Sus scrofa: one gene and its partner. The protein of the gene in region 1 purifies or fractionates together with the protein of each later gene. This does not show direct contact. Links are inferred from orthologs where the notes say so. Each region holds a gene or a part of one and is shown on either strand. Other genes may lie near its edges.

The links.
Region 2: the proteins of FUS (region 1) and RALY purify together in Homo sapiens (affinity purification with mass spectrometry; 3 studies listed by BioGRID and IntAct, with this or other methods). This does not show direct contact. The link is inferred for Sus scrofa from reciprocal best matches to the Homo sapiens genes FUS and RALY.

The regions. Positions count from the first base shown.
Region 1 is NC_010445.4:17,323,716-17,327,910, forward strand, and holds the start of FUS (RNA-binding protein FUS), read right to left. Parts: upstream 2,851-4,195; coding exon 2,838-2,850; intron 1,286-2,837; coding exon 1,261-1,285; intron 1,166-1,260; coding exon 1,011-1,165; intron 159-1,010; coding exon 14-158; intron 1-13. UniProt on the Homo sapiens protein: DNA/RNA-binding protein that plays a role in various cellular processes such as transcription regulation, RNA splicing, RNA transport, DNA repair and damage response. Binds to ssRNA containing the consensus sequence 5'-AGGUAA-3'.
Region 2 is NC_010459.5:37,446,854-37,451,039, forward strand, and holds the start of RALY (RNA-binding protein Raly), read left to right. Parts: upstream 1-1,344; 5' UTR 1,345-1,475; intron 1,476-1,888; exon of another isoform or gene 1,889-2,198; intron 2,199-4,186. UniProt on the Homo sapiens protein: RNA-binding protein that acts as a transcriptional cofactor for cholesterol biosynthetic genes in the liver. Binds the lipid-responsive non-coding RNA LeXis and is required for LeXis-mediated effect on cholesterogenesis.

The DNA of each region.
Region 1 (4,195 bases):
CACAACTCCTTACCTTCCCGAGGTGCTGCTAGGAGCTGGCTGCTGGCCATAGCCAGGGTATGAAGACTGCTGCCCGTAAGACGATTGAGAACCCTGGCCACTACCATAGCCACCAGTTGAGCCATATCCCTGGGGAGCTGACTGTGCGCCATAGCCTGCTACGAGAAAAAGAAAAAAAGTCATGAATTGAGGAATGAGAATAGGTTGATGAAACACTGTATACATCCCTAATGCTACCTACACCTGAAGCCAGCCTCTTGAACCACCGCCAATCACAGCCCAAGAGATCCCTCTCCTTTAACAGCATTTAACCAGCCTGTGATGTACATCTCAGATTATTTACCCTTCAGCACCTAAGGGCAAATTCCACCTCTTTGTGTATCAATGTGATATACAGTATGCTGATTTCCAACGTCTTCAAGCAAATCATTTTCTCCTTTTATTTTTTTTTATGCTTTTTAGGGTCACACCCACAGCATAGGGAGAGTCCCAGGCTAAGGGTCGAATTGGAGCTGCAGCAGCTGGCCTACACCAAAGCCACAACAGGATCACACCCAAGTTGCGTCTGTGACCGACACAACAGCTCACAGCAACGCCAGATCCTTAACCCACTGAGCAAGGCCAGGGATCAAACCGGAAACCTCATGGCTCCTAGTCGACTTGTTTCCGCTGCACCATGATGAGAACTCCCCATTTTCTCCTTTTAAATATCAAAAACTTAAAACTCTTTTCCCTTTAGGGAATATTCTTCCCCAATTTCACTTTCATTCTTAGGGGAAACAGGGAGAAGTGCAGCATAAATCAAAAAATGCAAAGTCAAAGAAAATAAAAGGAAACAGAATTAAGTACTTGGAAAGAACTCAAACTCTAAGTAGCTTGAAGGATCACAGACTGGTTAAGGGCAAAGAAACTGGGGGACAGTTTCAACAGTTCAGCACTGCTTAGGTTTAAGAAAAGCAACATTCAGAAAAAGCAGGAAGAGGAAGGGTGACCCACTTAAAAAGACTCACTGTTCTGGGTCTGTCCATAAGAACTGCCATAGCTGCTCTGGCCATAGCCTGAAGTGTCCGCTGACTGGCCGTAACCGCTGTAACTCTGCTGTCCGTAGGGCTGGTTGCTCTGCTGGGAATAGCCCTGCCCAGGCTGGGTGGGGTAGGCCCCGTAGCTGGAGAAGAAAAGGCAACAACGGTGCTCTCAGGAAAAGACACCTTAGCCACCCTTGCCCCCTACAAACTCTGGAAACCCAGAAATGACACTCACCTTTGGGTTGCTTGTTGGGTATAGTCTGCAAAACAGAAAAATACAATCATATTAACATTACCTTCAGCCACCCCTAAGAGAACAAACTAGAGGTAAAGGCCTCAACTCAAGCCCCAGAGCCCCTAGATGTGAAAATTGACAAGGCAGAAATCCCCTCCTGAAACCCTAGTTGAGAGGGGCAAGACGGCAGACCAAAGTCAAGTTTTCTCACAATAAAGACACACCAAAAAAGCGAATTTCTACCGAGACCAAGAGGCCTTAAGTACTGGAAAAAGCAAGAGTCCTGGTGGACAACTACCATTTTTCTGCAACTTCAACTGATATCCGGAACTGCACAAACTGACTCACATGTTTTCACACCCACTCTATGAGGAAGGTATCCCCAAGAGTCCAACTGAAGCCACACAGCTGCTTGAGCAGAACAGGCTTTATTGCAAGCCAGAAGCAAAAACGTTCCGATTGTAGCCTGCACTTTCTCAACCCAAAGAAAGTCTCAAGATCTGGAGAGAGGCCACCCTCCATCCAATCTTGGAGACAGGAACAGGGGGCTTTTAGTGCAGAGCCAGCTCACCAAGAAGGGAGAATTCTTTGACCCCAAACGACAGAGATCGCCATCAAAGAGCGGTCGCCTCGAGAGGCAAGCCGACTGGTACTCAGGTCCTCAGCCCTACGGCTCCCAACGAGTTCCTATCTCCCCTGCCTGCCTCGGGGCTGCGGGGAGACTTGGCGAATCCAAGGTAACGAAAACGCCACAAGGAAGACAGCACAAGCCTGATCAACTCATCTCGATACAGGAAACAGCTTTCCCCGCAGGAAACGGCAAAAGGATCGGGAGAGGGTGTGGCCTAAGGCGGCCGTTCCTTTCAGTTCCTACCTCCCAAGGAGGAAAATTTAGGCGGGAAAAGCCTCACCCGGTCCCCAAGTCCGTTGGACCACCCCCTAGCCCCCCACCCCTAGCCGTTAAACGGGCGCGCGGTCCCGATCCAAAGCCTCCGCCCCCAGCCGCGTGGCACGCGAGGCGGGAACGAGGAGGTCCCGCCCCTTCCCGAGGGACCCCGGGAGCGAGGCCCACACCGGACGAGCGCCGCGGAGCTGCCGGTGGAGGGTCTCGCGACAAAAAGCAGGGCCGACACGAGGCGGGAGGGGGGTTCGCGCCGCCAGAAAAGGGGGGAGGGGCCAGTAGAGCGCGTGCGCGCACCGAGTGCCCGGATGCAGCACTGCGACAAAGCGGGCCCGAGCGCGGGGCTGGAGACGCGGAGGAGAGAAGGCTACGGGGACCAAGCATTTCCATCCGCGTCTCACGTCCCCAGTCACCAAGAAGAGTTCCTCCCAACCCTCACCTAAAGGAAAGGGGCTGCAAAGGGAAGACCTCCCGCCCTGCGCGAGGCGCCAGCGGAGCGAAACAAAATGGCGACATCGGCCTCCCCCTTCCACCCCTCTCCGCTGCTTCCCGCCAGTGGTGCGGAGAAGATCCTACATGCGATCGCTGCCCGGGCCCCACCGAGAAACAAAAGCCCAACTGGGAGCTTACGAGCTCCAGGGCTGGCGCGCCACCGCCGCCTCGCGCACTTACATACCGTTTGAGGCCATGTCCGCGCACGCGCGCACAGGCCGGCAAGCAACAGAATTCCAACACCGCTGAGCACCGACGCCTCGAGGACTGAGCAGCCCCGCCTCCTGCGTCGAGGTTTATGTACGCCTCCCCCGCCTACGTATCCTGGGGGAATGCACCAAATGCGGAAAGGAAAAGGGGAAGCATGGCCGGACTCCTGCCGCCCTTCAGGGAATATATAGGGTCCTAGCCGGCAGAACATAATTGTTATTCACTAAGAACCATGCAAATAATATATATAGCCTTATTTTTTCTGAGAAATAATTTATATTTTCTCTGAAGGACGAGCCAAAGATTCACTTCCACCCCTATAAGATCATAATGGTACAGTCCGATTACCCTCTGGGGGCGGGGCGAGGGGCCTAGGGCGTCTGCGGGCGGAACTGTAGTCAAAGCCGGGAGTCGTGGGGCGGGAACCGAAATTCCTCAGGCTGGCCCCTTTCGCTGGGCCTCACTTTCACTCCGGATAGCGAGCTTCTCCGCTCCACTGCCCTTCCACTGCATCAGATGCATCCTCCCTCCCGCGCCAGCCTCCCTCTCTTGGTTCTAACGTCCCTCCCCCGACCACACACACTACCTTTCTTCGTCTTGGTTTTCACTCATCGTCTTTCAGGGTTGTCCTTACCAGGGCTTGTGGATTGTGACGTTTGACGTGAAAGCAAGCATGGAGTTTAGCTCGGACCCCTGGGTCCTGTTTTGATTAAGCATTTATGGCCCACCTACAACCTCAAAGCTTGGCTTCTGACTCGCTGTTGGACAGAAAAGCCCAAACAATCCGGAGATTGAGATTATATCAGGGTTCTCCCAGCCTTTTGCTGATAAAGGGCTGGGAGTATTTTCCTGAAACCCTACGGAGGAATCAATGTGCAGATCCAACAATAATTGATATTTGTATAGGGCTGAAGTGGCTTCAGAATGCACAATTAGAGAGTTCTCTCAGGGCACAGTGGGTTAAAGATCTGGCGTTGTCACTACTGTGGCTCAGGTGGCTGCTGTGGCAAGGGTTCACTCCCTGGCCCCAGAACTTCTGCATGCAGTGGGCGCGGCCAAAAAAAAAAAAGCCCAATTAATTGCTTTTCCATCACAATCTTACGAAGAAAGATAGCAAGGCTATCTTTTATACACCAAAAAAATGAGACTCAGGCCAAATGCAATCTATGATTATGGAACAGCCAAATGTAAGGGGTCTAATTCGAATCCAGGTCTGTGTGGCTGCAAAATACTCCTTTTGTTAGTTATACAGACATTTTGAAGTGTTCTGAAGCTTGTTCACTCCTTATGAGAAAAAGGACAAAACATGAAATTCAAATTAACTTGCAACTT
Region 2 (4,186 bases), on another chromosome or scaffold:
TAATGGCTGGTCTGGGCAGGATTAATTTCAAACTGTGTCCAGTGCTGGGGAAATCCCGTCTCCTAGGCAGGTTTTGGGGGATGTGATGGGAAAAATACAATAATAGGCCGGACAATGCAAGTCTATAGCTGAGGGCTGAAGGTCTTACTGTCCTCACAGTGGAGGCTAGAACACGGATCTAGGTGAGAGTTCTCACAGGAGAAATATTTAGGAGGGAGGACACACATCCAGACCCACATCAAGTTACAAAAAATTTCCAAAAGGGTAAAGTTATTTGAATTTAACCTTTTTTCAGGTCCTCCCCAGACACGTCCTCATGACAGTGTCTTCTCCCAGACCCAACTGGCAGCGTGGATCCTCGCCCAGTGCACACACCAGGTTCCCTGTAAGTGAAAGGACCTTGCCTTCCTTCCTACTTCTCTTCCGCATCCCTCGAGCACTGCCCACCGCCAACTTGTTTGGGCCGCGTCTTCAGGCCCCGCCCACCTCCAGTCCCAGCCCTACACACACCCCCGGTCACCCTTTCGGTCCCGCCTCCTTCCGGCTCCTTCCCAGAGTGGCCACCTTTGGGCCCCTTCTCCCGGCTCGGCTTCCGGGCCCGCCTCCTTCTGCCCGGCTTCAATCTTTCCTCGGGTACTGGGTTTCTTTCAACCCCGCCTCCAGACCCCTCCTCTAAGAGCCTCTCCTCCCCCAGACTCGCCGGGCCTCCCTCCACCCTTGACGTCTCCTTTGGGCAAACCTCCATTTAGCCCCGCCCACACCCCTCCTCTCACACACTGCCCGGGTTCTCCACTCTGCGAGGCCTCCACTGTCTTCCATACCTGTGTCGCGCGTCTCTGCTCTCTGGCATCATCACCCTCTCCGCCCTGCCCCGCCTTCCGCTTCATACTGGTTTAAGCAAGTCTCTCTCCGCCCTAGCTCCGCCTCCCCAACCTCCCATCTCTGTCCCTCCTCCCCATCAAGCCCCGCCCTGGCCCCGCCTTCCTTTTCTCCCCGCCGAAGCTCTGGACCTTTCCAAAGCTAGACTGGAGAGGTGGGACGAGCCCTTGCGCGTGGGGGGCCGGGCTGTGTCAGGGCGACGCTACGGACTCCTCGCGCTTGAGTCGCCGTGCCCTTTGGAGACAGAGGCGGGGGAAGAGGGCGACTGGGCCACGGCCGGAGCGGCGGGCGGCGCGGAGCCCGCTCCGTGCTCCCCTACCCCCGCGCGCCTCAGTGGTGCTGGCCGAGGGAAGGACTCGCGGCTGCGGGGCTCGCGCGGCTGTCAGTGCGGCGGGGCGCGCGAGCAGCGCGGCTGCGGGGTGGGCTGAGCAGAGAGAAGCTGAGGGGGCGGTAGCGGCAGCGGCGATTCGCGTGCCTGTGCTCAGCTCCTCACGCCGCGGCCGGGGCCGCCTTCTCCCTCCTTCCTTCCCGCCCCCGAGTGCGGCGGTACCGCCTCCTTCAGCGCCGCGCGGCTTCCTCCAGACCTCCGTGCGCGGGTGAGTGGGGGCCGCGGGCGTCTTCTTAAAGGTGCGGGGAGGGGGTGCTCCTTATTCCTTTTTGGTCACCTACCTCCTGGCGCGGGCCGTCGCCTATTTTTAGAAACTCTTTTCTCGGCCATTCGGGGAGTCCCGGGAGCCCGAGTAACTCCCGGCCCCCTCCCCCCGCACCTTCCCTCCACCCGGGCTCGCCGCCCCGGGTCGCCGGCCCGCCCGCGCCCGCTCCCGGCTGCCCTGGCGTTCCCTCCCCGCCATCTCCCCGCGGGCCGGGCCTGGGCCAGGAGTTGGCGGGGTGGGCCGGCGCCCGCTTGGAAGTTGGAGTCTTTTGTGCTCGCGCCCCGCCCCGCCCGGCGAGGGGAGGAGGGGGGAGCGGAGGCCGCGCTGGGGAGGCCTTGGGCGGGCCGGGCTCTGGCTCCGGCCGCGAGCTTCTTCCGGTTCTCCCTCTCGGGCAAGGTTTGCGGGCTCCCGGAGGCGCGCAAAACTGGTCCCGCCTCGCTCCCCACGGGCCTGAGCGCCTCCTCGGTCCTGGGCTCGTTGCACACCCAGGGCTTGTGGAGGAACAACAGCAGGCCCAAGACCGGGGCCGTGTTCCGCACCTCACGCACGCAGCCTTTTGGCCTCAGTTCGCTTCTCAGTGCAAAAGGAGAAAGAAAGTCGCTTCGCAGGGTGATTGTGGATTCAGGGAGAGAACAGATATTTGAGGGAAGTGTTTACTACCAACAGGTAACATTTAATGGACTTGACTCGGGAACTTCCTAAGTCTTATTTCATTGAATGCTCACAATGGCCTTCTGGGGTTATCCCCATTTACACAAGCAGAAATCCACGCGCAGAAAGGTTAAATAATGTGTTCCAATTTACAGTTAGTAGGCACAGAAGTGTAAAGCCGTGGTGCTAGTACCTGTTATTTATTTCTTAGTGCGAGCTTGTGAAATCTCTCAGTTACAGAAGGGATTTTGACTTAATCTTTGGGTCACACCATTAGTTGAGAGACCAGTGTCCACTATGGATGAAATGCCATTCTTGATCTTTGGGAGGTAAGAGGGAAAGGAAGTTGCTATGAATTTCTTGCTAATATTGCCCGTTAGAACTTGATGGATGCTAACGACTCCAGATCTCAAGCGCCGAAGTTCCCTGGGGGTTTGGTTCAAGGAAGGCCTAAGCCGTTTAAAGCAGTGAGCTGCGTCCTTTATTTTGTTTGTGGCATGTTCCTCCCCACCAAACCTTGCTTGTCCTCTATAGTGTTTAGATTTAACACTATAAAATCTAATAGTGTAGGGGAGAGGGAGCAGAAAGTGGCTCTAGTCAACCGTTTCAGCTCCCTGCCTTCAAATAGGGATTTATTTCTCCTATTTTCAGGCAAGGCCCAGAAGGGTCAAAGTGAACTAAAGTTGACTTTGGCAGGTGTTCTAGATTTCCAATGTATTTCATCTCTGGTGTTTAAAGATTAGGCAAGGGAGTTCCTAGGCCAGGTCTTGAGGAGTCTCCTGATGTTAGCATTAGTTCTTTGGAGTGCGGAGATTGGCTGTGTTCTCCTATTTCCAAGATTCTGGATTTAAGAGTTGTATATAGGTCTGGAAGGGGTCTTATCTGGTCTTTTTTTTTTTTTTTCCTTTGGCTGCGCCTGTGGCATGTGGGAAGTTCCTGGGCCAGGGATCTGACCCACGCCACAGCAGCGACCTGAGCTGCTGCAGTGACAAATGCCAAATCCTTAACCCACTGTGCCACCAGCGGAACCCCTGCCACCTTTTGAAAGGAAGGAAGGCCTTAAGACCAGGAATGCTGAGTAAATTGAAATCACAGGGAAGTTGTTTACTCCCAGCATTAAAAGGCCAGGTTTTATGCACAGGTATATTATTAGTTCTCATAAGTTACCACTTTTATTGTATAGTACGTTATTTATGGTTTGTAGTGCTTTTTTGTAACCATTATCTAATTTCATTTCTCATCCAGTTCTGTGAGGGAACTTGCGGAGGTTGGTTTTATATCTCCTTTTTACAGATCTAATTGAGAATTAAGACGTAATATGGTTAGGGCAGTTGTCTTACCACCAAATTAAACAAGTGGTGAGGACAGGACATCTCTTATGGGCAAAGGATTTGATTTGATGTGGCAGCATGAACTCAGCCATTCATTTGGCTCTCCGATCCTCAGTTTCTTTATCTCTTAACTGTCACAGGGTTGTGTGGGGACTATGAGAAATGGCTATGAAAGTACATTGTAATAGTAGGAATAATTGCTAACATTTATTAAGTAATTTGCATGTAGCAGTCACTGGACTAAGGACTTTCTGTAAGTATCTCATGTAGTCCTCAGCAAGTATATGAATTAGGTACTATTATTAAGCCCATTTTGCAGAAGAAGAAACAGCGTTAGAGAGGTTATATAAGATAAAATTTACAATTTTAACCATTGTTAAATGTACAGTTCTGTGGCATTAAATATATTCACATTGTTGTGCACCATCACCACCATCCATGTCTAGAACTTTTTCACCTTCCCCAGCTGAAACTAACTACTTTCATAGTTTCCCCCTACCCCTGCAACTATCATTCTCTTTTCTGTTTTTATGAATTTGACTACTCTAAGTACCTCATATGAATGGAATCATACAATATTTGTCCTTTTGTAACTGGCAAAGTTGGCATTCTCAGTGCTTCCTTAAATCTAGGGTGCCCTATTAATGCAAAATGATTATTAGTTCTCATCTG